Linked DNA regions of Macaca fascicularis. The protein of the gene in region 5 interacts with the protein of the main gene of each other region in a biochemical or structural test. Links are inferred from orthologs where the notes say so. Each region holds a gene or a part of one and is shown on either strand. Other genes may lie near its edges. The genes, in order: FLT4, GAB1, CSF3R, PTPN12, SHC1, ERBB4 and ERBB3.

Region 1 (4,466 bases), on a different chromosome or scaffold from region 5:
TCACAGGGCATGGTGGCGCACACCTGTGGTCCCAGCTACTTGGGAGGCTGAGGTGGGAGGATAATTTGAGCCTGGTGGAGGGTTCAAGGCTGCAGTGAGCAGAGATCACGCCACTGCACTCCAGCCTGGGTGACAAAGTGAGACCCTGTCTTAAAAAAAAAAAAAAAAAAAAAGTATATTCTGGGCCAGACACAGTGGTTCACGTCTATAATCCCAGCACTTTGGGAGGCTGAGGTGGGCGGATCACGAGGTCACAAGTTCGAGACCAGCCTGGTCAACATGTTTAAACCCCCATCTCTACTAAAAATACAAAAATTAGCCGGTGTGGTGGCAGGTTCCTGTAATCCCAGCTACTCAGGAGGCTGAGGTGGGAGAATCTCTTGACCCCGGGAGGCAGAGGTTGCAATGAGGTGAGATCGTCCCACTGCACTCCAGCCTGGGCAGCAAGAGAGAGACTTCGTCTGAGGGGGAAAAAAAGTATATTCTGAAAAGAAAAAAAAAAGCAAAACATATATTTTGGTGATAAAATGATAAAGAAAAGCAGGGAAATGATAATGCCAGGGTAGTGGCCATGTTTGGGGGTTAGTGAGGGGTCTGTGATGGGTGGTGAGGGGATGTGGGGATGTCATTCTATGTCCCTTGGCCTGGGGAATGGAAACGCAGATGTTTGCTGCTTTAAAATTCAGGTTTATAATATGCTGATATATTATGTACTTTCCATAAGTGTGTTACATCTCATAATAAATCTTTCAAAGCTAAAAAAAATCAATATATGATTGATAAATACCTAACTTCATGTATCATTTGGTTACCTAGTTTCCCCAACCTTATTTATTAAATTTTCTAAACTATCCTCACTGATTTGCGATTCTAGCTTAATAATATAGCCAATTCTTACCTGGGTTTGAGAGAGCTAGTAGTGGTTATCGAAAATCTACTCTTGCTTTTTGGCGAGGATGAACGGACTTTGGGGGGCGGGGTGGGGGGATGGAAAATGTGAATGAAACGAAAAGCAGGGAGGGAGGATGAGACAGTCATGGTCATGGGCTTTATTATTAAACAGGAAAAATCTAGAGACAAACTGAAAAGAGAACGGAAGTCTGTGAGAGGGTTGCCAAGTCAGAAAGCAAAAGCAAAGTGTCGCTTTATTAAAAAGGTGGGGGCGGGTCCTGATTGAGCTGAGAACAAAACATTTGGGGGGGGTTCTAAAGCTTGGAGGCCAGGCCTGCAGGGTGGGGGTCGGTTATCCCGGGTGTCCCGCTCAAGGGTGCAGCTTCCATCGGCACTGTGCATCGCCACTGTGCAGGTAGTTAAAGACTGCTGGACGGGTTTTGTTTGCTTTGTTTGTTTTTTTGAGGCGGAGTCTTGCTCTGGCTCCCAGACTGGAGTGCAGTGGCTCGATCTCGGCTCACTGCAACCTCCTTCTCCCGGGTTCAAGCGATTCTCCTGCCTCAGTCCCCCGAGTAGCTGGGATCACAGGCGCGCACAACCAAGCTCGGCTTATTATTTTATTTATTTATTTGTTTATTTTTGAGACTGGGTTTCCCTATGTTGCCCAGGCTGGCGCCAATATTTTCAAAGATTTAACATACTGCTATTTTTACATGTACTGCTTTTTTGCTTACTCTGGATTTTATCGATGGAAAGAAAGGACAGAAAAGGGCGCGTACCGCATTTTGTGCCCCTTGCCCACCAGGCTCCATTCCCTCCGGAGCGCACACCGAGGCCGTCTGCGTTACCCGCGTCCCCGCGCCCGGAGCCGCCCAGGAGGGGGCCCGGACCCCGCGGTGCAGAGCGCGCACTGCTCGGGTGGACCGGACGCCCCGCGGCGGGCTGGGAGGGACCGGGGGGAAGGGGGGGCGCGGGGGCGGCCTGAATCCCTGGCCCGCCTCCCCGGGTCCCCGCCCCGCCCCGCCCCGGGCCAGCCTGCGCCCGCGACGACACTTTCAGCCCCGAGCCGCGGCCGCTCAGGTCGGACCCACGCGCAGCGGCCGGAGATGCAGCGGAGCGCCGCGCTGTGCCTGCGACTGGGGCTCTGCCTGGGGCTCCTAGACGGTGAGCGCGGGGCCGCCGGGGAGGGGGCCGGCCGGGGAGGGGGACCGCGCACCTGGGGCGGGCGCTGAGACCGCTCCGACGGGGACGGGCGGGGGACACGGTGGCCCCGGTGCGCGGACGCCTGAGGGAGCACGGCGCTCGGGGCCCGGGACCTCGGGATGAGGAAAGGGCGGGCGGGGACTGCAGCCGGGTCAGGGCCAGGGCGGCCGGGCCGCGCCTCGGCGCAGGGTTCGCCCTCCCGGCCCCGAATCGGCTTCTCCGTGGGTGGCTCCGGGTCCTCCAGCCGGGCCCCGTCGGGCTGCGCGCTGAGCCTGGATCCTTCGTGCCCTTCCTCGCTTCCCCGCGGGGTCTCTGCGCCGCGCCGCTGGCCCGACCCACGCGCACCGGAGATCCCGGCCATCCCGGCCCCAGACCGGGTGCGCACTTCCCGACGCCCGACGTCTCCGCTCGCGGGCGGTCCCCCAGAGGGCGCTCGAGCCGGGCTTCCACCTCCCGCGGCCGGGGCTGCAGCGCAGGGGCCGGGACTCCCGTGCGCAGGAGGCTGACAGGTGCAGGTGCAGGTGCAGGTGCAGGTGCGCGCTGGGACCTCAGAGGAATCTTGAGGAGGCGAATCGGGGGCTGTCAGCGCGGCAGAAGGGGCAGAAGGCCAGGGGTCCCCGGATTTGAGGGGACAGGGGCCTTGAAGGCCGGCTGAGGAGCAGAGGCCCCCGCGGGAGGGTCCCCTGCCCAGGAGAGGCGGGGTTCGGTTTGTGTTGGGAATATGGCTCTGGCGGGGAGGGACCCAGACCTGAGGCGGAGGCGGAGGGGTTGGAGAGAGGGATTGGGGGGGATGAGGGAGGGGCAGAGGGAGTGGATGGAGATGTCAGGATAGGGAGTGGATGGCGATGTCAGGATAGGGGAGTGGATGGCGATGTCAGGATAGGGAGTGGATGGCGATGTCAGGATAGGGAGTGGATGGCGATGTCAGGGAGGAAGCTGAGAAGATGAGCTGGGAGTCCACACGGAGCTGGTGTCTCTGGAAATCAAAGGGTGGAAGGGCGGGGTCAGGGGTTCCAGTGTCTGAAAGGGGAGTGCCGGGAGCTATGAAGCCAGCGATGGGGACCTCAACATTTCTGCACGCCATAGGAATTAAATACTGGCTTTACATGCTTGTAATTCTCACAGGGAGTGTCAGACTCATTTTACACATGGAGAAGCTTAGAGCAAGGACGTGTGTCACTTCCCCAAGATCCCCAGGAGGCCCAAAGGAGCCCGACAAAGCCTGCCTTCTGCCCACCACCTGTATGTCCACGGGCTGAAGGGCAGAGGCCAGGAGAGGGGACAGGTCTGGCTCAACCAGGGGAGGAGGGAGGAGAACATCTGTCTGGGCCCCTGAGTCGGGCAGGTCAGATCAGGGTGCTGCCCTTGGCCCTCCTGGACCCCGCCCAGGACCAGGCTCTCACAGGTGCTCAGGATGTATTTGTGAGTGGCTGTTAGAGCTTGGTTGGACTGCAGGGCTGTAGAATGGGAGACACTTAACCCAGAGGAGACATGGGATGGGCGCCTGAGTGCAGTGTCTGAGGCTGAGCTGAGGACCTGGAGAGGGAGCAGAGAGACCCAGGAGGGGACCCTGGAGGAGGGGCCCAGAAGGCAAGGGGGCTTCCAGGGAACATTCTGCAGGTCTGAGGAGAACCCGGAGAGGCCAGTGTGCTGTGCTCCCGGCTGGAGCACGGCGGGATGTGGGGTGAAGGGTGACGAGACCATTTTTTGCAGTGGGTGCAGTGACTTAGCGACCCAGTTATGAAGAGGAGAGAGGGCGTAAGTGGGGGCCCCATGGAGAGGGGTGTCCTGGGCTGGACCTGGGTTTGGCTGGTGGGGAGATGGCAATAGAGACTGAGGTCATCCCTCCCTAAGCCCTGCACCTTGCTCTATCCCCTGCTAGGCTGAAGACCCCGGGAGCCCCCAGCTTGGTGGGGGATGCCATGGCGGGAGCACAAGCCCTCAGCTGCAGTCGGGTGTCAGAGCAGCTGGGTGGGAGCAGGCCGGAAGCCTGAGCACCGTGAAGCTGACCCCTTAAACATGTGCTGTTGGTCATAGAACCGGACTTGTCCTGCCTCCCCCGTAAAGTCATTTCTGTGTGACCTGGGCCCCCTCCTTTCCCCTCCTTGCACCTCAGTTTCCCCAAGCATAACCATGGCATACGCTGGCAAGCACCGGGGTTGTGTGGGTTGTGTGTGCTTGGGCTGGACTCCAAGACTCGGTTTCCTGCTTCAGTTCCACAGTCTTGCCCTGGTGGAGAGGGTAGGTCGCAGATGTCTCTTGGGGCTTCGTCTAGAGAGAGGCCATTGGCACCTCTGCACGGTGGCTGCCAGCTTAGGGACATGCCAGAGCAGGGTCTGCTGGGCATCTGGAGTGGCCTGGTCTCGGGACGT
Region 2 (3,675 bases), on a different chromosome or scaffold from region 5:
TCTTGTTTAGCATTAAGGAAGTGAGAGTGTGCTTGTGTTGTTAGCTTCATCTTGTCATATACCCAAATTTTGTGATACCTCAAAATGCAGAGACTGAAAATGTACATAAATATACTTTAATGAGATTTCTCAAAGTGTGTTATTGTTTGGAGTTGGTTAACTCTGTATCGTGTATTTCGATCCTCTTTAATGTTGGCTAAATGTTTGTTAAAGAAAAGTAGTGGAAAGGAAGATATGTGAAAAACAATTAGATGTCACCTTCTTGTAAGTCACATTGACCTTATTCAATACCAAGTAATCATTAGACTTTTAATTTTACAGAACAACAAATTTGCCACGGGGAGGTTTAAGACCAATGGATCAACTATATAAATTGTACTAGCACTAGGTTTTTGCATGCTCTTCAGAGGAAATGCTTTTCCTTGTGTCTATGCATTAATCATTTACCTTTCCCAGAGTTTTGTAATGTTTAATTCCAGTGCTTCAGGGATTGTGTTTTTATGTGCAAATTTAATAGGTGGAGTTGGGGGTGTGGGCAGATATAGGACAGAATTAGAGAGAATGCTTCTGTTGGTTTTGTGGTGGCGGTTTTGTTGTCTGGTGTATAATCATAAAAGCTAAAGAACATTTGTGCTTTAAATCCTATGGATCACACGAAAAATCTAATGAGAAAAGCCCTATCTTTTGATTGCTAAGCTATAAATATGTTTATAAAAAGTGTATTCTTAGTCTTCACCTTGTTTATTCTGTCATTAACAATTTTTATTTAGAACACACGCTGATTCTGCAAAATCCACCTCTTCTGAAACAGACTGCAATGATAACGTCCCTTCTCATAAAAATCCTGCTTCCTCCCAGAGCAAACATGGAATGAATGGCTTTTTTCAGCAGCAAATGATATACGACTCTCCACCTTCACGTGCCACATCTGCTTCAGTTGACTCCAGCCTTTATAACCTGCCCAGAAGTTATTCCCATGATGTTTTACCAAAGGTGTCTCCGTCAAGTACTGAAGCAGATGGAGAACTCTATGTTTTTAATACCCCATCTGGGACATCGAGTGTAGAGACTCAAATGAGGCATGTATCTATTAGTTATGACATTCCTCCAACACCTGGTAATACTTATCAGATTCCACGAACATTTCCAGAAGGAACCTTGGGACAGACATCAAAGCTAGACACTATTCCAGATATTCCTCCACCTCGGCCACCGAAACCACATCCAGCTCATGACCGATCTCCTGTGGAAACGTGTAGTATCCCACGCACCGCCTCAGACACTGACAATAGTTACTGTATCCCTACAGCAGGGATGCCGCCATCACGTAGTAATACCATTTCCACTGTGGATTTAAACAAATTGCGAAAAGGTCAGCTCTAGTTGACTTCTTCTCTATTAGAGGTTAATGATAGAAAATCGATTTTTCTGAATATTTATTCTTTTAAGTGTAGTTAAATATACTATGCTACAAAATACAGTCCATTTTTTTTCAGCTCTACAGTTACCTGGAAGGGTATATGTGCATTCATGCTCTGCTGGAAGGAAAAGAGAGTTGGAGTTTCTCATCCCTGAAGAAGTATGGCCTTAGTAATGCCTTCCTGCCTCAGGAAGTGTGCCCTTCTCTCTCCCACTTTCTATAATCCTGGGTGGATAGGCCCTCTGTTGGGACAGAAGCGCAGGAAATGGACCAGCCACAAAGCCTCTCCGAGTCATACCCTTTCCTGTATTTGTGTGCCATTATGGCCGCTTCTAAGTCACATCTGTTGAGCCCTATTTCCTTCCTTCCTATGTAAGCAGTTTTTGTGTTGTGTCTAACAGGTGATATTCTGTTCTGGTCAAGCCATTCTGCTTTCTCTTTGATTTTTACTTGTGTTTAAAGAGCTGAATCTTCTTTCCCCTTATCACTACTCACTTCACTAATTGTTAGTGAGTATACTTTCCTATACTGTCTCCTAGAGTCTGAACCAAAAGTTACAGACCTTGAGAGGAGAAGAGAAAATGAGTCTGGGTGATTCTCTGAGATTCTCAAAGTCCTAAAAATAGAAAGCTAAAGTTTTTAATGCACATATTCTAAATACTATGTGCTAAAATTTCTGTATTTTGTGGTAGACTTTTCCCCAGCTATCTCCAAGATAAACATTTAATGTATCTATGATTACTACTTAAATCATTACTTATTTCAGCATTCAATAACAATTTCTAACTCCTTTCTTGAAGTGACTGTATAACCTGGTTATAAGTTAGTGAAATGTAAGTTAGGTCCAAGGTGGTGCAAACAATGAGAAAATAGAGGTGTTACTCTTCATCTTTAGATAACCTATCTTATCCCAGACTTAGACATTCACTCACACTCAAAATTAGATATTGGTGTTGGTTAGCATATGAGTGAGTGTCTGCATTTTCTAGTGGTTTAATATGCCGATTCAAGATACAAGTCTGTGAGCATCCTTTTTAAAATCTATGTGTGTGCATATGTGTCTGCATATGTATAATGAGAGAAAGAGAATAGGTCATCCCAATGACCCTGAGAGCTGGCAAAGATGGGAAGAAATGTTGATAGTTTGTTCTTTATTTTAGATACTAGTTCTCAAGACTGCTATGATATTCCACGGACATTTCCAAGTGATAGATCTAGTTCACTTGAAGGCTTCCATAACCATTTTGTAAGTATAATTGACCTTGGCATTATCAAGTGTATTTCATTGTCTAAATCTTCATAATTAGTGCCATGGGACTAAGTGATATCATGAAATAAAAGTACGCTGAGATCCATATGAATGGATTTGACTTACAATTGTGTTTTCATGTGTGAGAAGAGTTTTTGTTTATTAAAATAAATATATATGTGTTTTAGAAAGTCAAAAATGTGTTGACAGTGGGAAGTGTTTCAAGTGAAGAACTGGATGAAAATTACGTCCCAATGAATCCCAATTCACCACCACGACAACATTCCAGCAGTTTTACAGAACCAATTCAGGAAGCCAATTATGTGCCAATGACTCCAGGAACATTTGATTTTTCCTCATTTGGAATGCAAGTTCCTCCTCCTGCTCATATGGGCTTCAGGTCCAGCCCAAAAACCCCTCCCAGAAGGCCAGTTCCTGTTGCAGACTGTGAACCACCCCCCGTGGATAGGAACCTCAAGCCAGACAGAAAAGGTAAGGAGAGCATGGCAAAGTAAAAGGCTTGGGGAGTGCCAAGTTAGATCTGTTTTTAACTGCCATTAAATCCAAAACAGAATTTGGACTAGAAATTCTGAAATATTTCATAGTTCCATAGCCATCAACTTATTTAAGCAAAGCAGTACTGCCATTTATAAATTAACAGTTTCTATATCACATGTTGATGTGAGGTGATATTTATAAGTCTCCTATCTCTAGAGCAGAGGTTACAAGCTAAAATACTCATAGGGTGAGCGGACAACTGGGGAGAATTAGAAGAAACTGGACTGCCCTAGCCCCATCTAATGGGAGTAACTAATCTACTCGGCTACAATCCTTTGTTGACTTGTGAAGTGATGCACCCATTCAGGCAAATCTTCTGGTATTTCAGGAGAAGCCAGAGATTTCAGATTTTATATGTATTATCTCTCGATTTTTAAAGTTCTGTCAACTAATTTAATTATTTTTAAGAAAATATTGCAGGCCAACCCAAACACTTCTGCAAGCTAGA
Region 3 (4,462 bases), about 92 Mb from region 5:
ATGAGAAAGGGACATTTAAGCAAAGACCTGAAGGGGAGGGACCAACCCATGTAGCTATTTGCAGGGGAAACAGTCCAGGCAAATGAAACAGCAAAGGCAAAGGCCCGGAGGCAAGAGATAGCATAACAAGTTCAAGAAGCAAAGAACACAGGGTAGCTGGAGCAAGGCAGCAAAGGGGAGAATAACAGGAGAGGGATCCAGGAGGTAATGGGGATACCAGGTTGTGTAGGGCCTTGTAGACCATTGAAAGGGCTTTGACTTTGACTCTGAATGAGACAGGAGCCATTGGAAAAGTTGGGACGAGGATGGCCTGATCAGACTTCTGTTTGATTGATATCGCACTGGCTGCTGAAGGAACTACAGACAGGTGAGGGAACGAGGATGAAATGGAAGCAGGAGAGCAGGGAGGGGGCTATTGCGATGATCTAGGCAAGAGATGAGGGTAGCTGGGAGCTAGCTAGTATTGGCTTCAGTTATATTTGTATTTTCCAATATATTATCATAAAAATATTTGAACGTAGAGCCAACTTGAACTTTACAGTGAATACCCAGGATTCTGGTTCTATTTTGAAAGAAGACAGTCCACGGGACTCACTGAGTGAGCAGAGCCTGTGGGGTATCTTGGGAGGGTTACAGTGGGCAGTCAGGTCATTTGACCTGGAACTAGAACTGCAGCCCTGGTCTGCAGCATCACACCAGACCCAGACGCCTAAAAATGATTATATGTTAAGGACAATCTGCTGGTCTGTTGGTACCTAATCTTTTTTGGGTTATGAATCCAATAAACTATGAGCAGTTTGAACCTTTCTCAGAAAATACAAGGAAAATTGTTTGTAGTTGCAGAGGAATCATGAATACAGACCAATAAAAGACATAAAATGTAGTCTATTTCACTCAATTACAAAATATTCAGTGTTGCAGAACCATTGTGGGTAAACATTACTAATTTTTAGTGAACATATGAGGACCCCGTGCCTCACCAAGACATCCTCCTGTCTTGCCCCCAGAATACCTGTTTCTCCATCTGCCTGGTCTATGGGCAATGTGCAGAATACGTAATGAAGAGGAGAGCAGTGAGTATTGGGTTATAAAATTCCCTGGAACCTGGAACACACCCTTCTGCCTACTGTGAAGACGTGGGCCCCAAGGCTAGAGCTGAAAAGAGGCTTGGGGCCGGGTGAGCCTTCCAGGCAGGGTCTGCCTCCAAGTGATGCTCCCCCAGGCTGGGGGGCATAGGGATGGAACCCAGCCAGGTGGGAGCCTGGGCCCTGCCCAGCCTCAAAGCTTCGAGCTCAGGAAATCCGGAGGCAGGGGAGGGGGACATCGTTGCCACATTCCCCAGCCCTTTAAGACCCCCAAGGCAGGAAGGCTGCCCGGGCCTCACCAGCTTCCCTCACAGGCTCCTTCCTGGGAGGAAGGGGCTGCCTGTGCCCTCGAAGGCGCAAGGGAGGGTAGGAGGGAGGCTCGGAAGGTGTTGCAATCCCCAGCCCCCGGGCCTGTCAGAGGCCGAGCCATTAACGACAGAGCTCGGGGAGAGAAGCTGGACTGCAGCTGGTTTCAGGAACTTCTTTTGACGAGGAGAAGAGAGACCAAGGAGATCAAGCAGGGTCCGGGCCAGAGGCTCCAACGTGAGTAGGGGATCCCTACAGAGGGGCTGAGCCTTGGGCTTGATGGAGAGCTGGAATCCTGGGGCCACTCCCCGCAGCTCTGCCAAGTGTTCATGTCCGGGGTCCTAGGCCTGGGGCCAAGGATTCGTCCTTTGGAACCCCAGCCCTGGACAGTGAGTCTCTTTTCACAGGATGCCCCTACTTTGGGGGGTATTGCACCAGGGAAGTCACTCACAGCCAAGTAGCTCCTTGGGGACACTGAGCTGGGCTGGGGACAGACATAATCATTCTCCCCTCCCCATGCCTCTGCCTCTCAGGACGTGTGTGTCTGAGTTCCAGCCGCGCAACCCCTCCCCGTCTGGGTCTCTATTTCACTCTCTGTTTCCATCTTTCCTCCTCAGCTTCTCCCTGGCTTGTTATTTCTCTGAGTTTCTCTGTCTCGCATATTTCCTGCTATCTCTTGAATCTTAAACTCTTGGTAACAGACCGCCTCCTGGGCTCCGGGCCTCCGAGTGCCCCCCACTCTCTGGGTCAGTGTACATCGGGCCCTTTTTCTGTGTCTCTCGACGCCTCTCTGGCCTCAGTCATCCTCTTGGTGGGTCTCTGTCATTTTGGTCTGTGCGGATTTCAGTCACCTCCTCACTCTGCCACTCTTTGTATCTCTCTCTCTCTTTTTCTCTATCTGCAGCACATCTGGAAGGGCCTCTCCCCTCTGTTTATTCCCAGCCCCCTCCTCCCTCCCCACCCTTCCCACGGTGAGAGTAGAAACAGCAAGGGGGCCAGGGGTGTGAACTGGGGAAGAGAGTGTGAGGGGAGAGGGTTGAGTGTGATGAGGGAGAAACAGAAGGAGGGGATGTGAGAGCAGCCAGCCCAGGAGGCATTAAGGTGTGCTGAGCCACGGGAGCGAGCACTTGCAGGGCCCAGAGGAGATGGCCAGTGATGGGAGGGCCAGGGGGCCAGGGAGCTAGGAAGAGGGGATCCAGAAATGGGGCTTTGGAACTGTGCAGTGTGGCACAGACAAAAGCAAGGTGGCAGTCCTGGGAGGTGTGACCACGCAGGCTGTGAGGAAGGCAGGGGTGAGGCGAGAACTGAACTGTGCTGGATTCCATGAGCTGCTGACTCGTTTTACGGCTCGTGAAAAGAACCTACGGTTGCTGAGTGCCAACTCCATGCCAGGCACAGTGCTAAGTGCCTTTACCATAATCATCTCATTTCATCCTCACAACAACCCTGAGGAGTGAGTGCTAATGTTCTTTCTTTTCCACAGATGGGGAAACTGAGGCTTGGCTCGGAAAGGTGAAGTAACTTGTCCAAGGTCACAAAGCAGCTGGTAAGTGGCAGAGCTGGAGATCAAGTCAGGTGACCTGAGTCTGAGCTGGGCTCCAAAGCTCTCTGTATATCGGCCCCCCAGAGAGTGAGACTGAACAGGCCCTAGGCCCACTCAACCAGGCTGGGGGATGTCTAGGGCTGCAGTGGAGGACCAGGGACTGAGGCCAAGCAGGGGGAGGATGCCGGGGCCTCTTGGGTTAGGTTGTCTACTCTGGACAGGAGCCAGTGGGGGTGGATATGGTGGTACTGCACGGGGCCCAGGCTAGGCCTGAAGCTGACCCTGGCTAGGGCAACAGGGCTGGGATATGATCAAAAGCACATAGAGATGAAAACCAATGTCCCAAAATCTGGGCCTTGGAGGCTAAATCTTCCCCGACCAGTGTTGGGGGGGATGGATAATCAAACTGGTATGCTGTAGTAAGAAGGTTACCAACCACCAATGGGTAGACAGATGCTCGGGATAGCTGTGCAGGTTTCGCACTGCACAAAACTGAGGAGTAACCAGAGCCGAAATCCAGGCTGTTCCCTAGTTGCCAGGTCCTAGTGTGGTGCTGCATCCGTCCCAAGGATGGGGTGTTTTCTTTCTGATTTGCACAAAGGAGACTTACAGGCTAGCAGTCACTGGGTATTCTGATACTGCACTATACACGAATAGACTGGGGGTTTGGGTAAGGCCCCTGAGAGCAAGAACAGCCTTGGTTATCTGGGCAGTTCTTATCCACACCTCTCTCTGGGAGGGAGAGAAAAGGATTCTCCTACCTTTCTCCCTGCTGAGCACGAGGGACCTGCTGGGACACCACCTGCGTGTATGTGTCCAGATATGTACATGCAAGCTGACCAACAATTCCCACTGATCTGCCACCAAGAGCACCAACTCGTGCTGGAGGATCAGGTGTTGGCCCCAAGACCCCAATGGGAGCAGGGTGAACATGAGGCTGGATACCCACCCAAGTGGTAGAAACCTCTGCATACTTCCTAAGACTGGAGCCAAGGCACCCTCCATCCAGGTGCTATGGCCGCGACCATATGATGCCTGACCCCAGAAGGCCACCAGAGGTCTGTGCCCAGAAGTGGGGGCATACTGGACCCCTCGGGTGCCCCACTTGATATTCTCTCAGCCCACATGGCTGAGGCAGCCAGCTTCCTGCAGGTGTAACCTGACAGCCCCTTGCCTCAGCTGCTCCATAGAGCTCTCCCTTTCATCCAGGGAGTGTGCCTGACAACACTGGCATGGCTTCCCCAGGAGAACCTGCCTAGTACTCATGCATGCCCAACCTGGATGTGCCAGGGAGTGAACACCCCAAGAGGCATCCCTTGACCAATGGGGGGCAGGGGTCAGTGGGTAAATCTTCCCATCTTCCCTCCCATCCAAGGGATAAATTGACCCTCCGGTGGACAGCTCTGAGAAGTGTTCTACATGGCTCTTGGGAAGGTTCCAGCAGGACAGAGCCCCAGTTGTCCATAGAGGTGACCAACATATGATGTAACCTTGTGTTGGCTTTCTCTCTGTCCCTGTTTCATTCTCC
Region 4 (3,675 bases), on a different chromosome or scaffold from region 5:
AAAATTAGCTGGGCATCATGGTGCATGCCTGAGGCTGAGGCAGGAGATTCGCTTGAACCTGGGAGGCGGAGGTTGCAGTAAGCCGAGATCGCACCACTGCACTTCAGCCTGGGAGACAGAATGAGACTCTGTCTCAATAAAAAGTAAGTAAATAAAATACTGATTATGGAAAAGTGGTCTGATGTACATGTCGGGAAAATAATACACCTCAATTTATATCAAAATTTTATTTCATCCTTTTAAAACTCGTATTTTCTATTTGTATTATGATACGTTCTTAGGATAACCTATTGGTCTTTGTATATGCTTTATAAATTGTAGGAGGTGCCTACAATTATTTTTTATTTTAGATTGCAAAAATTTGATAGCTACTCTTTCAGATTAAGAACCTACTTGCAGGCCAGGTGCAGTGCCTCACACCTGTAATCCCAGCTCTTTGGGAGGACATGGCAGGTGAATTGCTTGAGTTTAGGAGTTTGAGATCAGTCTGGGCAACAAGAACATGGCAAAATCACATCTCTACAAAACATACAAAACTTAGCCAGGGTGATAGTGCACACCTGTAGTCGCTGCTACTTGGGAGGCTAAACTGGGAGGATGGCTTGAGCCCTGGAGGCAGGGCTTGTAATGAGCCAAGATTGTGCAACTGTACTCCAGCCCAGGTGGCAGAGTGGGACTCTGTCTCAAAACAAAATAAAGAAGAAGAATCTACTTGTAAAACTTCAACAGATATAGGAATATCTTATGAGAGTATTGCTGTCGTTGTAATATGATCAATATTCTGGAGATATTCATTTATCTTGTCATGTCCTATTCTAGGAATGTTGGAATGTGTCTAGAGAATCTGAACTTCACAGATAAAATTATTTATTTAATTTATTTATTTATTTTGAGACAGACTCTCGCTCTGTCACCCAGGCTGGAATGCAGTGACATGATCTCAGCTCACTGCAACCTCCACCTCCCGGATTCAAGTGATTCTCCTGACTCAGCTTCCTGAGTAGCTGGGATTACAGGCGCACGCTACCATGCCTGGCTAATTTTTGTATTTTTAGTAGAGACGGGGTTTCACCATGTTGGTTAGGCTGGTCTCGAACTCCTGACCTTGGGAGGCCTTGGCCTCCCAAAGTGTTGGGATTACAGGCATGAGCCACCATGTCCAGCCCACAGAGTCTCTTTTAAGGGGAAACCTGGTGTACCATGTGATTACTGCCAATTATCTGGTTGGATAATTAAAAGGTTGATCACCTGCGGGGAAAAAAAAAAAAGCAAAAACTCTGAGGTGGGATCCCGTGGCTCACCCCTGTAATCCCAGCACTTTGCGGGGGCCAAGGCAGGCAAATCACTTGAGGCCAGGAGTTCGAGACCAGCCTGGCCAACATGGCAAAACCCCGTCTCTACTAAAAATACACAAATTAGCCAGGTATGGTGGCATGTGCTTGTAGTCACAGCTGCTCAAGAGATTGAAGCACAAGAATTGCTTGAACCCAGGAGGTAGAGGTTCCAATGAGCCAAGATGGTGCCACTGCACTCCAGCCTGGGTAACAGAACGAGACTCTATCTCAAAAGAAAAACAAAAACTTGAATATACAAGCCCTCAAGAAATTTGCATCATATAAAGTTCTTAAAAAGCAACAAAGCCTGGGCAACATAGTAAACCCTATCTTTTTTTTTTTTTTGAGACAGGATCTCATTCTTTCACCCAGGCTAGAGTGCAGTGGCATCATCACAGCTCACTGCAGCCTTGACCTCCCTAAGCTCAGGTGATCCTCCTACCTCAGCCTTCCTAGTAACTGGGACTGTAAGCACACACTGCCACACCCAGTTAATTTTTTGTATTTCTTGAAGACACAGGGTTTTGCCATATTGCCCAGGCTGATTGTGAACTCCAAGTAAGTCACGGTGCGCAGCCTTTCTCTCTCTCTCTTTTTTTTTTTTTTTTTTTTTTTTTTTGAGACAGTCTTGCTGCGTCACCCAGACTGGAGTGCAGTGACACGATCTCAATTCACTGCCATCTCCACGTCCCGGGCTCAAGCAATTCTCCTGCCTCAGCCTCCCAAGTAGCTGGGACTACAGGTGTGTGCCACCACACCTGGTGAATTTTTGTATTATTAGTAGAGATGGGGTTTTACCACATTGCTGAGGCTGGTCTCAAACTCCTGAGCTCAAGTGATCCACTCACCTTGGCCTCCCAAAGTGCTGGGATTACAGGCGTGAGCCACGGTGCCTGGCCCCCATTTCTTTAAGGAAAAAAATAAAAGCAACTAGAGGGTGTAACCCACCCAAACAAAGGAGTATACCCAGAAAGAGGAAGATGGGACCTGGGAAACAGGAGAATCTGAAACCAGAGAGAACATTAGCTCTGTGGTGGCTTAGGGAACCAGTAGTCCACACTGGAGCAGAAGGCCAAAAGTTACTAAGAAGGATGTCTGTGGTATTGATAGTTACTGTGTGTGTTTGTCATTATTGAGAGGAGGTATACCAATCTGCAAGAAAGTTAGAAGAAAAGCTGAGTAACTGATGGTGCATAGAGAGCTAAGCAATCAGAAACCCAAGGCAGTGGTTAGGGGAAAACAAGACATTGTAGAAGAAAAGATATGAAATCATGGTGTCATAGATGTGAATAATATCTGCAGTCATATGACTGAGGTAACGAAAAATTACAATATAACAGTATTGGAAAGATAGAGAAGGACACTTCCACAGTAGGAAGTCAGTAGAAAATATGTGAAATAGAGATCAAGAAATAACTTTTGAAATAGTCTGAAATACAGAGGTAAATTTTAGAAGCAGCTGTAAAAAAAAAAAAGGTTGAAAGTGGATGCCTCTGGCTAACAGGAGGGCTACAGGGCAGAGACTATGTTTTTCATTAAAAGTCTTTTTAAGCAGTATATGTATTACCTTGATGAACATTAAATTTTCTTAGTCTGAAAAATTACAGTTTTCACAACCAGATTCTAATGGCTCTTAATATACTAGTCTTAGCTACATAATTCTCCTGTATCAACTTGTTTAACAGTCTTAAAATGCCCTTTTTAAATATTTGTTTTTCAGTTGCCTTGTTGAAGGGGATGCTAAAGAAGAAATACTGCAGCCACCGGAACCTCATCCAGTGCCACCCATCTTGACACCTTCGCCCCCTTCAGCTTTTCCAACAGTCACTACTGTGTGGCAGGACAATGATAGATACCACCCAAAGCCAGTGTTACATATGGTTTCATCAGAACAACATTCAGCAGACCTCAACAGAAACTATAGTAAACCAACAGAACTTCCAGGGAAAAATGAATCAACAATTGAACAGATAGATAAAAAATTGGAACGAAATTTAAGTTTCGAAATTAAGAAGGTCCCTCTCCAAGAGGGACCAAAAAGTTTTGATGGGAACACACTTTTAAATAGGGGACATGCAATTAAAATTAAATCTGCTTCACCTTGTACAACTGATAAAATCTCTAAGCCACAGGAATTAAGTTCAGATCTAAATGTCAGTGATACTTCTCAGAATTCTTGTGTGGACTGCAGTGTAACACAATCAAACAAAGTTTCAGTTACTCCACCAGAAGAATCCCAGAATTCAGACACACCTCCAAGGCCAGACCGCTTGCCTCTTGATGAGAAAGGACATGTAACGTGGTCATTTCATGGACCTGAAAATGCCATACCCATACCTGA
Region 5 (4,296 bases):
CTCAGCCTCCCGAGCTGGGATTACAGGTGCTCACCACCACGCCCAGCTAATTTTTGTAGTTTTAGTAGAGACGGGGTTTCACCATGTTGACCAGGCTGGTCTCAATCTTCTGACTTCAGGTGATCCACCCGCCTCGGCCTCCCAAAGTGCTGGGATTACAGGTGTGAGCCACCTTACCCAGCGGGAATATGTATCTTTAACTTGTTTTTTGTTTTTTGGTCGCTTTCCAGCTTTGCCTATGGCATTCTCCAGAAGAGCAGTGGCAGGAAGCCGTGGGTGGCAGGAATGAGTTTGGGACTGTTCCCTGTGTCCAGCTTCAACCCATCTTCTCCTGACACCCCTTTCTCCTGTGCTTACTTGTTTTTTCTCCTGTTCTTATTGACACAGATGTGTCTTCTGATCTCTCTGTCCCTTCCTGGCCTGTCGTTTCTGCTTCTCTTGGAGAACTGTTTCTTCCACCTCCTCCAGCCAGGCTCCTCCCCTGGTGTGAGGGACACTGTGCTGTTTGGTGGGGCTTTGGGTCCTGTAAGAGGAGGGATATGAATTGGGGTGGTTTGGAGTGGGAGTGGGGACCTGATTGCCTCATTCTCACCCTTGACAGTGTGCTGTGTTAACAAGGCCTGTGGAAAGGGGAGAGGACAGTGCTTGGCTATGAGCCATGGGTCTTGGTGTGGTAGATGGCATACATAGAGAACAAGCCGTGACCAGCATGTCCTCTTGTTCCCCTCTTGCCTGGTAGCTTCCTGATGTACCATCCAGGTTGGACTTTATTCCCCTTTTTTCACCAACTTTGCTTCTCCTCTTGACCCTGCTCTGCATCCATTGGGACCACTTCCTTCCCATCCCCACTTCGCTAGCTCCAGTCCACAGCTGTCGTAGCAGAGGATGCTAATGGCCCAGGCTTACTGTATGGGGTAGTGGTTGGGGGTGGCCTGGGCTGGAGGGTGGGGAATTCGAGTGTCCAACCAGAACAGGAAGGGAAATGCTGAGCTCTGAGATCTCCTCCCTTTTCCACCCGCAGCTGCCTCTGTTTCCTCCCTCATTCCCCTCTACTCTAGCCTGGCTTCCTGCCCCCTTTGGCCTGCCTGTGTCCGGTTTCGAGTGACCCAGACCTCCTATCTCCTTTCTTTCCATCCAACTCCTCCATGCTTCCCTCCCACCCCCACTTTCCTTCTCCCCAGATTACTAGTTGTTTGTGTAGGGCAGGGGAGAGGAGCTTGGATAGCCCTACCCTCTGCTCCAGTCCGAGGTTGGGGCGGGGTGGGGGCTCAGCCCCTCTGAGCCTGTGAGTCAGCACTGTCCTCGTGATTGGTCTCTCCCTTTAGCTCTCCGCCCCTGGGGAGGAGCCAGGCAGCTCTGGGTCCAGCCTGTTCTCTTCTCAGCCAGAGAAGAGGCTCCACGTTGGGCGGGGATGGGGCCCGAAACTGTCTGGGTCTGAGCTGGGGAGCGGAAGCCACTTGTCCCTCTCCCTCCCCAGGACTTCTGTGACTCCTGGGCCACAGAGGTCCGACCAGGCTAAGGGCCTGGGAATACCCCCTGCCTGGCCCCCTTGCCCAAACTGGCAGGGGGGCCAGGCCGGGCAGCAGCCCCTCTCTCACCTCAGCTATGGATCTCCTGCCCCCCAAGCCCAAGTACAATCCACTCCGGAATGAGTCTCTGTCATCGCTGGAGGAGGGGGCTTCAGGGTCCACCCCCCCGGAGGAGCTGCCTTCCCCATCAGCTTCATCCCTGGGGCCCATCCTGCCTCCTCTGCCTGGGGACGATAGTCCCACTACTCTGTGCTCCTTCTTCCCCCGGATGAGCAACCTGAGGCTGGCCAACCCGGCTGGGGGGCGCCCAGGGTCTAAGGGGGAGCCAGGAAGGGCAGCCGATGATGGGGAGGGGATCGTAGGGGCAGCCATGCCAGACTCAGGCCCCCTACCCCTCCTCCAGGACATGAACAAGCTGAGTGGAGGCGGCGGGCGCAGGACTCGGGTGGAAGGGGGCCAGCTGGGGGGCGAGGAGTGGACCCGCCACGGGAGCTTTGTCAATAAGCCCACGCGGGGCTGGCTGCATCCCAACGACAAAGTCATGGGACCCGGGGTTTCCTACTTGGTTCGGGTGAGTGAACATCCTCCTTTCCATTGCCTCCCAGACCCCTCCAGTTCTTCTGCTCACTCCAGCTTGGCTGGAATTCTTTTTTCCTGCTGTTCCCCAACAACCCTGTTTCAGTGTTCTATTTCCTAAACCTTTCCCATCCCTTCCCCAATTCTGTAGCCCTTTCCCTTCCAGCTCTGCCTGGGCCCCCTTCCTTCTTTTGACTCCCCTACCCCCACCCTGCCATGCTTAGCACAATGCCCAGCATGGCAGAAGCTCTTAATAAGTGCTGGAAGGAGTGACTTCTTGATCCTTTCCTCCATTCTCCTCTCGCTTTCTGGAGTTGTTGCTCCATCCCAGTCAGTGCCTGTCAGTCCCCTCCAAACTCTCTCCCCAGTGCGTGAGGTCCTTCTAGCCTGCCTTTTCTTTCTCTGCTCGTTCCCTGTTGTCTTTCACCTTGGTTGTGGGATGTAGACACGGAAGAGGGCAGAACTTCTTCCTCTTTACTTCTCTTAGGGACCATATGGGCAAAGTCCTAGGGCCCTTTGTGAAGGGACTGGGGTCAGGGAGCGGCTGACCTGCTGTCCTCTCCTCCCTCCCCTTAGTACATGGGCTGTGTGGAGGTCCTTCAGTCAATGCGTGCCCTGGACTTCAACACCCGGACTCAGGTTACCAGGTTAGTGGGGAGGGAGTGGACTGTGGGAGTCCTGGGATTAGTGAGGCCATGGGAAAGGGCGGAGGGGAGTGGGTCACTTGGGTGCTGCTGGTTGGGGCTGATCTTTGGGTAGTAAAGGGGATTGAGAGAAAGCTGGGATAGTGATTCTGCCTCTTACTGAAAGGAGGCCCCTCTGGCCCGGATCCTCCTTACCTGTCCAGCCTTGGGAGTTGTGGGGAAGGTAGCAGAAGCAGCTGGCAGGTGGAGCTGGAGTAGCAAATGGGGGTAGATGGAAGGTTGCTGCTGCCTTTGGGAAGGGAATGGGACATTTGGTAGCTGGAAGGGGGTGGGGCTATACCCATTGAGGCCCTAACCCAATCAGCCAGGAAGCGGCCTCTCAGTGTCATCAAATATTAAAGGCCCTTAATTCAATCCACCACGACAAAGAGCCTGGAGTGCCCTGGGAGTCTGGCCTGGCTTTCCCCTCCCCCAGCTCTGTGGCAGCCCCAGTTGAGTGGGAGGCAGGCAGGCAGGCGCTGGGTCTGAGTACCCCTCTTTCCCCAGGGAGGCCATCAGTCTGGTGTGTGAGGCTGTGCCGGGTGCTAAGGGGGCGACAAGGAGGAGAAAGGTACTTGGGGTCCTTGGGGATAGGGATGCTGCTGGGAAATGTGGAGGGACAGTGAGGAGGCAAGTGTGGGGCATGTGGGGAGAGGGCCAGGAGACAAGAGTATGGTTTGTCTGTGCTGGGAACCCTCACCTTCTAAGACCCTGGGCCCTACCTTAGCCCTGTAGCCGCCCGCTCAGCTCTATCCTGGGGAGGAGTAATCTGAAATTTGCTGGAATGCCAATCACTCTCACCGTCTCCACCAGCAGCCTCAACCTCATGGCCGCAGACTGCAAACAGGTTGGTGGAGGTGGGCAGGTGGACCAGAAACACCGATGGGGGTGCTAAGGGGAGATCTAGTTAGGAGGCCAAAAACTAGGAAGAGGGCTTGAGAGCAGAAGACCAGTAGGGAAGGAGGAAATGAGGATATGGGATAAGGAACCCAGAGAATGAGACTGGGGCACCAGGGTTCTGGGCCCTGAGGCTGCCTGACACATGGCATTCCCTTCCTTCTCCATCCCCTCCCCTAATTCTCAGATCATCGCCAACCACCACATGCAATCTATCTCATTTGCATCCGGCGGGGATCCGGTGAGTTGGGGAACAGAGCAAAGGTGGTGGGAGAAGAGCAAGGGGCTAGTGATTGGGAAGACATTGATTAGAGAAGTGGGGGTGCTAGGACTGTGGGGATATCTGAAAAGGACTGGGTTTTAGGGGTCAGGAGTAAAGTGGAACTGTAAAATTTTCTGACCTTCCTCCCCAGGACACAGCCGAGTATGTCGCCTACGTTGCCAAAGACCCTGTGAATCAGAGAGGTGAGGCATGGTGGGGAGCACTGGGTGGGTCTGGCTGTTTGAGGTGAGTAGGACCTGGGGTCATTTGTACCCACTCTAAGTAGATCTAAGTGGGGGTTCCTGCCGAGGAAGATGAGGGCCCCTGTCTGTGCCTCCTCCCAGTGGGC
Region 6 (3,675 bases), on a different chromosome or scaffold from region 5:
TTGAAGTCAGTGAGTGGAATTCTGTCAACTTATTTTACAAGAGTCCTGAATCTCTAAAATTAACTGTATAAAATATCTGTGGTCTGTTGGGCTTCATGTTAACATTCCGGAATTCATTTCATTCCCGGTAACATAGAAGTGTTCTCAGTAAAGGTTTGGACTGACCCCGTTATTGTGTGCTTGCCCTGAATTTTGAGTCTTTCTCAATAAAGGCAGAATATTTGATTATATGACCTGAGCTGTTCTATACACTGCTTTTCATCAAAGAACAAATGTTGAAAGCTCATTCTTGTACTGCAGAGCTGATATTTCCTCTGTATACAAAATTCTTTGCACATTAAAAAGTGAAGGCAACAGTTTTCCTACATGATACACTTCATTTTTGGCTTCATATTCATCGAAAGCATAGTTATTTGTTCCATATATCTTTGCTTGTAAATAGAGAAAGTTTGCTAGAACGTTTAATTGAGACTTTAAGCTTTTGTGAGATATTAATATGACATTGAGAAAATTTTAATCAATAGTTTATGTGTGAATTATAGGGAAACACATTTTTAGTGTTTCTCCAACCTCAGCAATATCCAGTATTTGAGCCTAGTATAAAGTACTCCATGTTAAACTAGCAGTACATTGTATTGATTGCACTTCTTGGTTTGAAACAGTAATTTAATCAAGCAAATTTTTTTAAAGATGTGGAATGGTTTGCAGTAGAGAAGAATATGCTGATGAACCAAGTTCAGAAAGGCAGTATAAGGTGGTTCCAGAGATCAAGTTGCTGGAACTGATACTCTTTTCAAGACTTGAATGCTGGCATGAATAAATGCCAATGGATTCAGACACAAATCCTCAGGACATAGGCCATATGCCTATCTGTTTGTCAGGCGATTATGGAGCATGTTGATTGATAGCCCTATTAAGGCTACTTAGAGTGGATCACTAGTGGTTATTCACCCTACCGAAAAGGAATGTTCTCAGAGACCGGTAAAAGAAGAGATATCTACAGTAAGAATAAAATTTGTTTGACTGCTACAGGTAGATACATACTTCTAAAAAAGCCTAAGATCACTGTTCTTAGAAGTTTTGACCTATCTTGAAGAAGCAGCCAATGGATAAAATTTAATCTCTCTGTAAATGATATATGTTAATATGAGGTGTCTACCTAGGATAGCACGAAATGTCTTTTAATGTAATAAAATTTTAAAACTTACTGTGGATTTCTTAAAAATAAAAAACAAAACTGGAAGTCTTACTTGAATTCATATACATGGAAGCGAATAGTTCCTGTGTTATAAACGTGAATATGAATAAGCTAGATAGGAACAAGATGGTTCTAAGTAATCTGTATGAAGAGATACTTTTGGACAATGTCATAAATATTATGAAAATTCATGAGTAGATAAATGTAGAGCTACAGAAGAAAAAAATGTCAATTTTATCTGTGCTTGTTTCTATCCTTCTTATGAATTCCAGGTACTATTAGCAATGTATACTTCTTTGAGGAGCAGAAATACCAGTTGTTCTCACTATAATATAATTTATTTCTAGACTATATATATTCTTCCAAATCAATAATAAACTTTTAAAACAAAGCAATGTCAAGTGGTTCATACATGAACTTGCTATCTTTGAGAATTTCATCAGAATAGTTCAATCTGAATAATCTTATAGATCTAGAATAGGCTTTGATGAAAATCTCATATTTTGTGACATCAAAAATGTCCACAAAACACCTACTATTCCTCCTCCACATCTAGCACAGATTAATTTAGACATGCATTGATAACGCCCCTATTGCTAATTAAAATTAAATTAGAATAAAATAACTACTGTCACATTTCTCATATTTTCACTCCTTTATTAAAATTTAAATTTGGCTATGTTTCTTCTTGATTTTCTAGGGACCCTTACAATGCAATTGAAGCCATAGACCCAGAGAAACTGAATGTCTTTCGGACAGTCAGAGAGATAACAGGTAATTTTTTAAACTGCAACTGTTGTGCTATGAACAACGTAATTTTAAAAAAAAATTGCATAAGATTGGCTGGGCACAGTGGCTCACTCCTGTAATCCCAGCACTTTGAGAAGTCAAGGCGGGTGGATCACGAGATCAGGAGATTGAGACCATCCTGGCCAACATGGTGAAACCCTGTCTCTACTAAAAATACAAAAATTAGCTGGGTGTGGTGGTGCGTGCCTGTAATCCCAGCCACTCAGGAGGCTGAGGCAGGAAAATTGCTTGAACCCAGGAGGTGGAGATTGCAGTGAGCCAAGATCACGCCGCTGCACTCCACCCTGGCAATAGAGTGAGACTCCATCACAAAATAACAACAAAAAAGAAAACAAAACAGAAAAAGTTACATAAGATTGGAATCAGCAACTAATTTTCAAAGCAGATTTTAGTTTGTAAAAACTCGTATTATTTTTAAAGATGGTATTAGCTTTTATGCATATTTTGAAAGCCCATGGAATTACAAAATGAGTGTCTTTGAAAGTCTGACATTACAACTCTTGCAAGTGTCAACTGATCTTTGAACCCATGTTTTTCTGTTTACTTCTTCAAAAGAAGTACTCTTGAACATGGATAACATGTAGCATTTATTTAGCACATATATATTAAGCCTGTAATGTGTTCAACATTGTCTTAGTGGGTAATATGGGGCCCATAGATATGAATCAGACATGGACTTACCGTAAAATAATGCAAAATCTAATGAGAAAGGTTAGATACGTATATAAATGTCTTAGAATATAAGGGTGACACTGATATCGTAAGTATACAGATGAAGAGGTAAAAGATTTCGGAGAAATTGAAACTATATTTTTCTCTTCATCTAGTTAGACTACATTCTTGCATTTATAAGAATAAATCAAATTGAGTCATTGAAACCTTTCAACATATAAAGTTTTACCGGGTAAGAGACTCAATCTTGGAAGAATACATACGTAATAGAGTGCTTCAAAAATAGAAATGTTCACTACTCCTTTCTCACTTCCCACCTTTCAACATGTTTTCACCATATTTCAAGAAAAATCAGCACTAATACTAAGACAATGATATTCTGATTTATTTTTACTACTCTTCACTTGTAGGTTTCCTGAACATACAGTCATGGCCGCCAAACATGACTGATTTCAGTGTTTTTTCTAACCTAGTGACCATTGGTGGAAGAGTACTCTATAGGTAAGTGGATATGTTTAAAGTTGCAGGTCTCACAGATTTCAAGAGGAGCATCGTCTGGGCATTAAGTCAAAACCATCACTCTTATTGATTTACTGATTCTGGGGAAATCATGCTTCCATCCTTATTTCCAAAGATAAGCTCATTGAAAATACCTCCAATGATGGTATGAAGTATTACAGAATACATAGTTTGATTTTTTCAATTGTCTGTCACTCAAAATAATATTAGTATTTTGCAAGTATGGGGTGCAAGATATGAACAATTAATGAAACTTTCTTTTTTATCAGATGTTATCATAACTAAAAGATAAGAGTTGTGTGACTTGGTAATGGCTCGGGTGTATAGGATACACATGCTGTTGTGCCAGGAGATTCTGTTCTTGTCTCTGGTGCTATAATTTGAACTACACATCACAGGGCTGATGTTTTAGGAACAGGTCCGCCATTCTACATGTTCTGCTGGTTAATAAATGGACAAGAAAATTCAGGTTTAGA
Region 7 (3,675 bases), on a different chromosome or scaffold from region 5:
AATGTGTACGTGTTCATGTGTATGTTGTGTGTGTGTGTGCCCACACTACTACTTCCCTGTGCAGAAAACTTGGCTCCTCCCTTATCTGGGGAGAAGGATTGGCACTATAACTTGGGAAAGGGGGTGTCCTGCCAGGAAGGGGACTGGGGTGGGGCTGTTCCAGAAATGACTAACCTTCCTAGTCTCTTTCATTTCAACCCAAGGACCCTGGAGTTACCAGCTCCTCTGGAACTAGCTCTCTTTGCTGGGACTAGCCAACCTTCATGGGGAGTGATAAGGAGCCCTCCAAGGTCAAGAATTCAGACTAGGGGTATATAAGAGGGATTGGGGCCTCACCAGTCTCCCTCCCTCCATTCCCACTGTTGCCTCCCACTGACTACCACTGCCTCAGGGAAGGGTGGCTGGAACAGGTGGTATCTACCCCCTATTCCCCACCCCACACGTGGTCTTTCGCTGAACCAGAAGAAAGAGACTGGGGTAGGGCTTCAGAGTCCAGGATTTTCCATAGGCCATTGTCCACCACATTTGCAAAGAGTGAACTCCCAAGGCTGACATGCCATGTGCCTCTAGTCTAGGCTTTCCCCTAGTGCGGGTGAGGATTGCCATGGTGAAAGGCTTTTTCATGAACCTCTTCTAACAATGAAATTGGGTGGAGGCTCAGTGTGGGGCATCTCCTACTATTTCTCTCCAGGTGTCCCTGTATTTGCTAAAAAATACTCTAGGGCTGGAAAGTGATGCTGAGGTTGCTAGAGTGTGTTGGGATAGGGAGAGAGAGTGAGAAGGAAAGCCTGAGTTTAGGAACGTGGGGAGGCAACCAGCTTCTTATCTTCCAGCTTTAAACACAAAGCTCCCATTGACCCCCCCCCCACCCCACCACTGCCAGAGCTCCCTCCTCTACTGAGGTCACTTGTCTGAGCCCAAGGCTTGAGGGTGGAGGGGAGTGCTGCTGAGGATGGGGTGTCTAGGGATAGGGTGGGGCAGCCCCCCTCCTGGATAGAATCGCCTCATTGTGGGCTGGACTGTGGCCCCAGGCACTGCCCCCACCCTCTGCCCCCATCCCACCCTCAGTTGACACAATAGGGGCTGTGTACTAGCCCCAAAGAGATATTTATTCCAGGACCTAGAGAGAGGCAGGATGAGGGTAGAGAAGTGAGTGCCCTGCTTGGAGGGGGAGAGGAGGGTAATCAAAGTTTCGGCCCTTTCCTAACTTCTCTTTTCTAGGGAGGGAAACAAATTCACTGTCATCCTTCTCTATTAACCCCTTAGTACCCAGAGTGGTACCCAAAAGAGGCACAGAGGGGTCTCAGGTAGAAAAAGGAAATCTTCACCTTCCCATTCATAGAATGGTAAAGGGATTCTGAGAAGAGAGAAAGCTCTCAGGCCACTACAGCTTCTGCCTATCGCTTGTGGGAGGGTTGGAGGCAAATGCCCTCTGATCCTGTCTAATGTAACTGGAAGAGGGCAACCAAGGGGGTGATCTTGGGGGATGGCAGATGGGCTGTGAATTTGTGTCCAGCCCTCAGCCACTCTTCCCTCTGCTTTGAACAGTGTGTCCTGGGACTCTGAATGGCCTGAGTGTGACCGGCGATGCTGAGAACCAATACCAGACACTGTACAAGCTCTACGAGAGGTGTGAGGTGGTGATGGGGAACCTCGAGATTGTGCTCACGGGACACAATGCTGACCTCTCCTTCCTGCAGGTTAATGTGCACCCTCCTTCCTCAACCTGCTCCTCTTTATTCTCCCCTAGAACCCTCCTTCCCTCTTCAGGGCTACCTTCTGCTGGAGTTCACCCTTCCTAAGACTCAGGAGTTCCTAAGATCCAAACCCGCGTATTTCTGGGGACAGTGGCTGTAATCTGGGACCTATGGTCTCGCTGTTGTAGCCAGGGATATATAGGGGGCAGGGGCAGAGGCAGGGGCGGGGCAGGTGGTGTTCTGTGGTAGTGCGAGGTCAGCAGGGACTAGCGCAGAGAGACACCTGAGGACCGAGAGGGTACCTGGGGAGATGAAGAAAGGGCCCGCCTGGCATGAGGAGCTTTGAGGAGAAAGCTGCCTGTCTTCACTCCCAGAAGTGACATAGTAGTGTGACACAGTCTACTCCCTACTCCAAAATAGGAATTAGCAAGAGTTAAGGAGAGGTGCAGTGGCTCATGCCTGTAATCCCAGCACTTTGAGAGGCCAAGGAAGGCAGATCACTTGAGGTCAGGAGTTCAAGACCAGCCTGGGCAACATGGGGAAACCCTGTCTCTACAAAAATACAAAAATTAGCTGGGCCTGGTGGCACGCACCTGTAGTCAGCTACTTGAGGGCTGAGGTGGGAGGATCGCTTGAGCCCAGGAGTTTTACACTGCAGTGAGCCGAGATTGTGCCACTGGACTCCAGCCTGGGTGACAGAGCGAGACCGTCTCACCAAAAAAAAAGGTCAAGTGCGGTGGCTCATGCCTGTAATCCCAGGACTTTGGGAGGCCGAGGCAGGCGAATCACCTGAGGTCAGAAGTTCGAGACCAGCCTGACCAACATGGAGAAACCCCATCTCTACCAAAAATACAAAATTAGCCAGATGTGGTGGTGCATGCCTGTAATTCCAGCTACTTGGGAGGCTGCGGCAGGATAATTGCTTGAAGCCGGGTGGCGGAGGTTGTGGTGAGCCAGGATCGCGCCATTGCACTCCAGCCTGGGCAACAAGAGCTAAACTCTGTCTCGAATTTTAAAAAAAAGAAAGAAAGAAAGAAGGAAGAATTAAGAGTTAAGAGTCTTTAATGCCTGAAGGAGGAGAGGGGATTGAGATTTTTTTGCCCTGTTGTCTCTCTCATTGACATAATCTGCTCTGTCACAGTGGATTCGAGAAGTGACAGGCTATGTCCTCGTGGCCATGAATGAGTTCTCTACTCTACCATTGCCCAACCTCCGAGTGGTGCGAGGGACCCAGGTCTACGATGGGAAGTTTGCCATCTTCGTCATGTTGAACTATAACACCAACTCCAGCCACGCTCTGCGCCAGCTCCGCTTGACTCAGCTCACCGGTCAGTTCCCGATGGTTCCTTCCGGCCTCACCCCTCAGCCCTCAGACTGGTACCTGCTTGATGATGACCCAAGGCTGTCCACTCTAAGTGCCTTTTCCAAGGTGCCTGTCACCTTGGTAACTGTCTAATGGTCCATTGCTCCCTAAGCAATAGAGGGCCCCCAGTAGGGGGAGCTAGGGGCATCTACTCCAGGGAAAGGAACCATGTGTCCTGGTGGGGCTGGAGTCAGAGCCGGATCTGTTACCATTTCTCTAACTTCAAAGTACAGTGTACTGGAGGCCAGGCGTGATGGCTCACACCTGTAATCCCAGCATTTTGGGAGGCCAAGGAGGGCAGATCACTTGAGATCAGGAGTTTGAGACCAGCCTGGCCAACATGGCGAAACCCTGTCTCTACTAAAAATACAAACAAAACAAAACAAAACAAAATTAGCTGGGGATAGTGGTGTGCACCTGTAATTTCAGCTGCTCAGGAGGCTGAGGCAGGAGACTCGCTTGAACCTGGGAGGCGGAGGTTGCAGTGAGCCGAGATCGCACCACTGCACTCCAGCATAAGTGACAGTGAGACTGCGTCTCAAAAAAAAAAAAAAAAGCCAAAGCACAGTATACCTGGATGTCCCTCCTTCCCTAGGAATTCTACCTTTGCTCTCC

What was found.
Region 1: the proteins of SHC1 (region 5) and FLT4 form a complex in vitro, tested with the Homo sapiens proteins (2 studies listed by BioGRID). The link is inferred for Macaca fascicularis from reciprocal best matches to the Homo sapiens genes SHC1 and FLT4.
Region 2: the proteins of SHC1 (region 5) and GAB1 form a complex in vitro, tested with the Homo sapiens proteins (2 studies listed by BioGRID and IntAct, with this or other methods). The link is inferred for Macaca fascicularis from reciprocal best matches to the Homo sapiens genes SHC1 and GAB1.
Region 3: the proteins of SHC1 (region 5) and CSF3R form a complex in vitro, tested with the Homo sapiens proteins (2 studies listed by BioGRID, with this or other methods). The link is inferred for Macaca fascicularis from reciprocal best matches to the Homo sapiens genes SHC1 and CSF3R.
Region 4: the proteins of SHC1 (region 5) and PTPN12 form a complex in vitro, tested with the Homo sapiens proteins (2 studies listed by BioGRID). The link is inferred for Macaca fascicularis from reciprocal best matches to the Homo sapiens genes SHC1 and PTPN12.
Region 6: the proteins of SHC1 (region 5) and ERBB4 form a complex in vitro, tested with the Homo sapiens proteins (2 studies listed by BioGRID and IntAct, with this or other methods). The link is inferred for Macaca fascicularis from reciprocal best matches to the Homo sapiens genes SHC1 and ERBB4.
Region 7: the proteins of SHC1 (region 5) and ERBB3 form a complex in vitro, tested with the Homo sapiens proteins (2 studies listed by BioGRID and IntAct, with this or other methods). The link is inferred for Macaca fascicularis from reciprocal best matches to the Homo sapiens genes SHC1 and ERBB3.

What each region holds. Positions count from the first base shown.
Region 1 is NC_088380.1:187,555,957-187,560,422, reverse strand, and holds the start of FLT4 (vascular endothelial growth factor receptor 3), read left to right. Parts: upstream 1-1,589; 5' UTR 1,590-1,604; coding exon 1,605-2,055; intron 2,056-4,466. UniProt on the Homo sapiens protein: Tyrosine-protein kinase that acts as a cell-surface receptor for VEGFC and VEGFD, and plays an essential role in adult lymphangiogenesis and in the development of the vascular network and the cardiovascular system during embryonic development.
Region 2 is NC_088379.1:148,551,641-148,555,315, forward strand, and holds part of GAB1 (GRB2-associated-binding protein 1), read left to right. Parts: intron 1-770; coding exon 771-1,372; intron 1,373-2,580; coding exon 2,581-2,666; intron 2,667-2,857; coding exon 2,858-3,161; intron 3,162-3,675. UniProt on the Homo sapiens protein: Adapter protein that plays a role in intracellular signaling cascades triggered by activated receptor-type kinases. Plays a role in FGFR1 signaling. Probably involved in signaling by the epidermal growth factor receptor (EGFR) and the insulin receptor (INSR).
Region 3 is NC_088375.1:198,438,340-198,442,801, forward strand, and holds the start of CSF3R (granulocyte colony-stimulating factor receptor), read left to right. Parts: upstream 1-1,522; 5' UTR 1,523-1,628; intron 1,629-2,874; 5' UTR 2,875-2,937; intron 2,938-4,309; exon of another isoform or gene 4,310-4,403; intron 4,404-4,462. UniProt on the Homo sapiens protein: Receptor for granulocyte colony-stimulating factor (CSF3), essential for granulocytic maturation. Plays a crucial role in the proliferation, differentiation and survival of cells along the neutrophilic lineage.
Region 4 is NC_088377.1:143,849,536-143,853,210, reverse strand, and holds part of PTPN12 (tyrosine-protein phosphatase non-receptor type 12), read left to right. Parts: intron 1-3,054; coding exon 3,055-3,675. UniProt on the Homo sapiens protein: Dephosphorylates a range of proteins, and thereby regulates cellular signaling cascades. Dephosphorylates cellular tyrosine kinases, such as ERBB2 and PTK2B/PYK2, and thereby regulates signaling via ERBB2 and PTK2B/PYK2.
Region 5 is NC_088375.1:106,174,734-106,179,029, forward strand, and holds the start of SHC1 (SHC-transforming protein 1), read left to right. Parts: upstream 1-1,384; 5' UTR 1,385-1,605; coding exon 1,606-2,100; intron 2,101-2,681; coding exon 2,682-2,752; intron 2,753-3,295; coding exon 3,296-3,359; intron 3,360-3,515; coding exon 3,516-3,635; intron 3,636-3,872; coding exon 3,873-3,926; intron 3,927-4,098; coding exon 4,099-4,150; intron 4,151-4,296. UniProt on the Homo sapiens protein: Signaling adapter that couples activated growth factor receptors to signaling pathways. Participates in a signaling cascade initiated by activated KIT and KITLG/SCF.
Region 6 is NC_088386.1:107,522,316-107,525,990, reverse strand, and holds part of ERBB4 (receptor tyrosine-protein kinase erbB-4), read left to right. Parts: intron 1-1,898; coding exon 1,899-1,972; intron 1,973-3,090; coding exon 3,091-3,181; intron 3,182-3,675. UniProt on the Homo sapiens protein: Tyrosine-protein kinase that plays an essential role as cell surface receptor for neuregulins and EGF family members and regulates development of the heart, the central nervous system and the mammary gland, gene transcription, cell proliferation, differentiation, migration and apoptosis.
Region 7 is NC_088385.1:62,869,363-62,873,037, forward strand, and holds part of ERBB3 (receptor tyrosine-protein kinase erbB-3), read left to right. Parts: intron 1-1,548; coding exon 1,549-1,700; intron 1,701-2,838; coding exon 2,839-3,025; intron 3,026-3,675. UniProt on the Homo sapiens protein: Tyrosine-protein kinase that plays an essential role as cell surface receptor for neuregulins.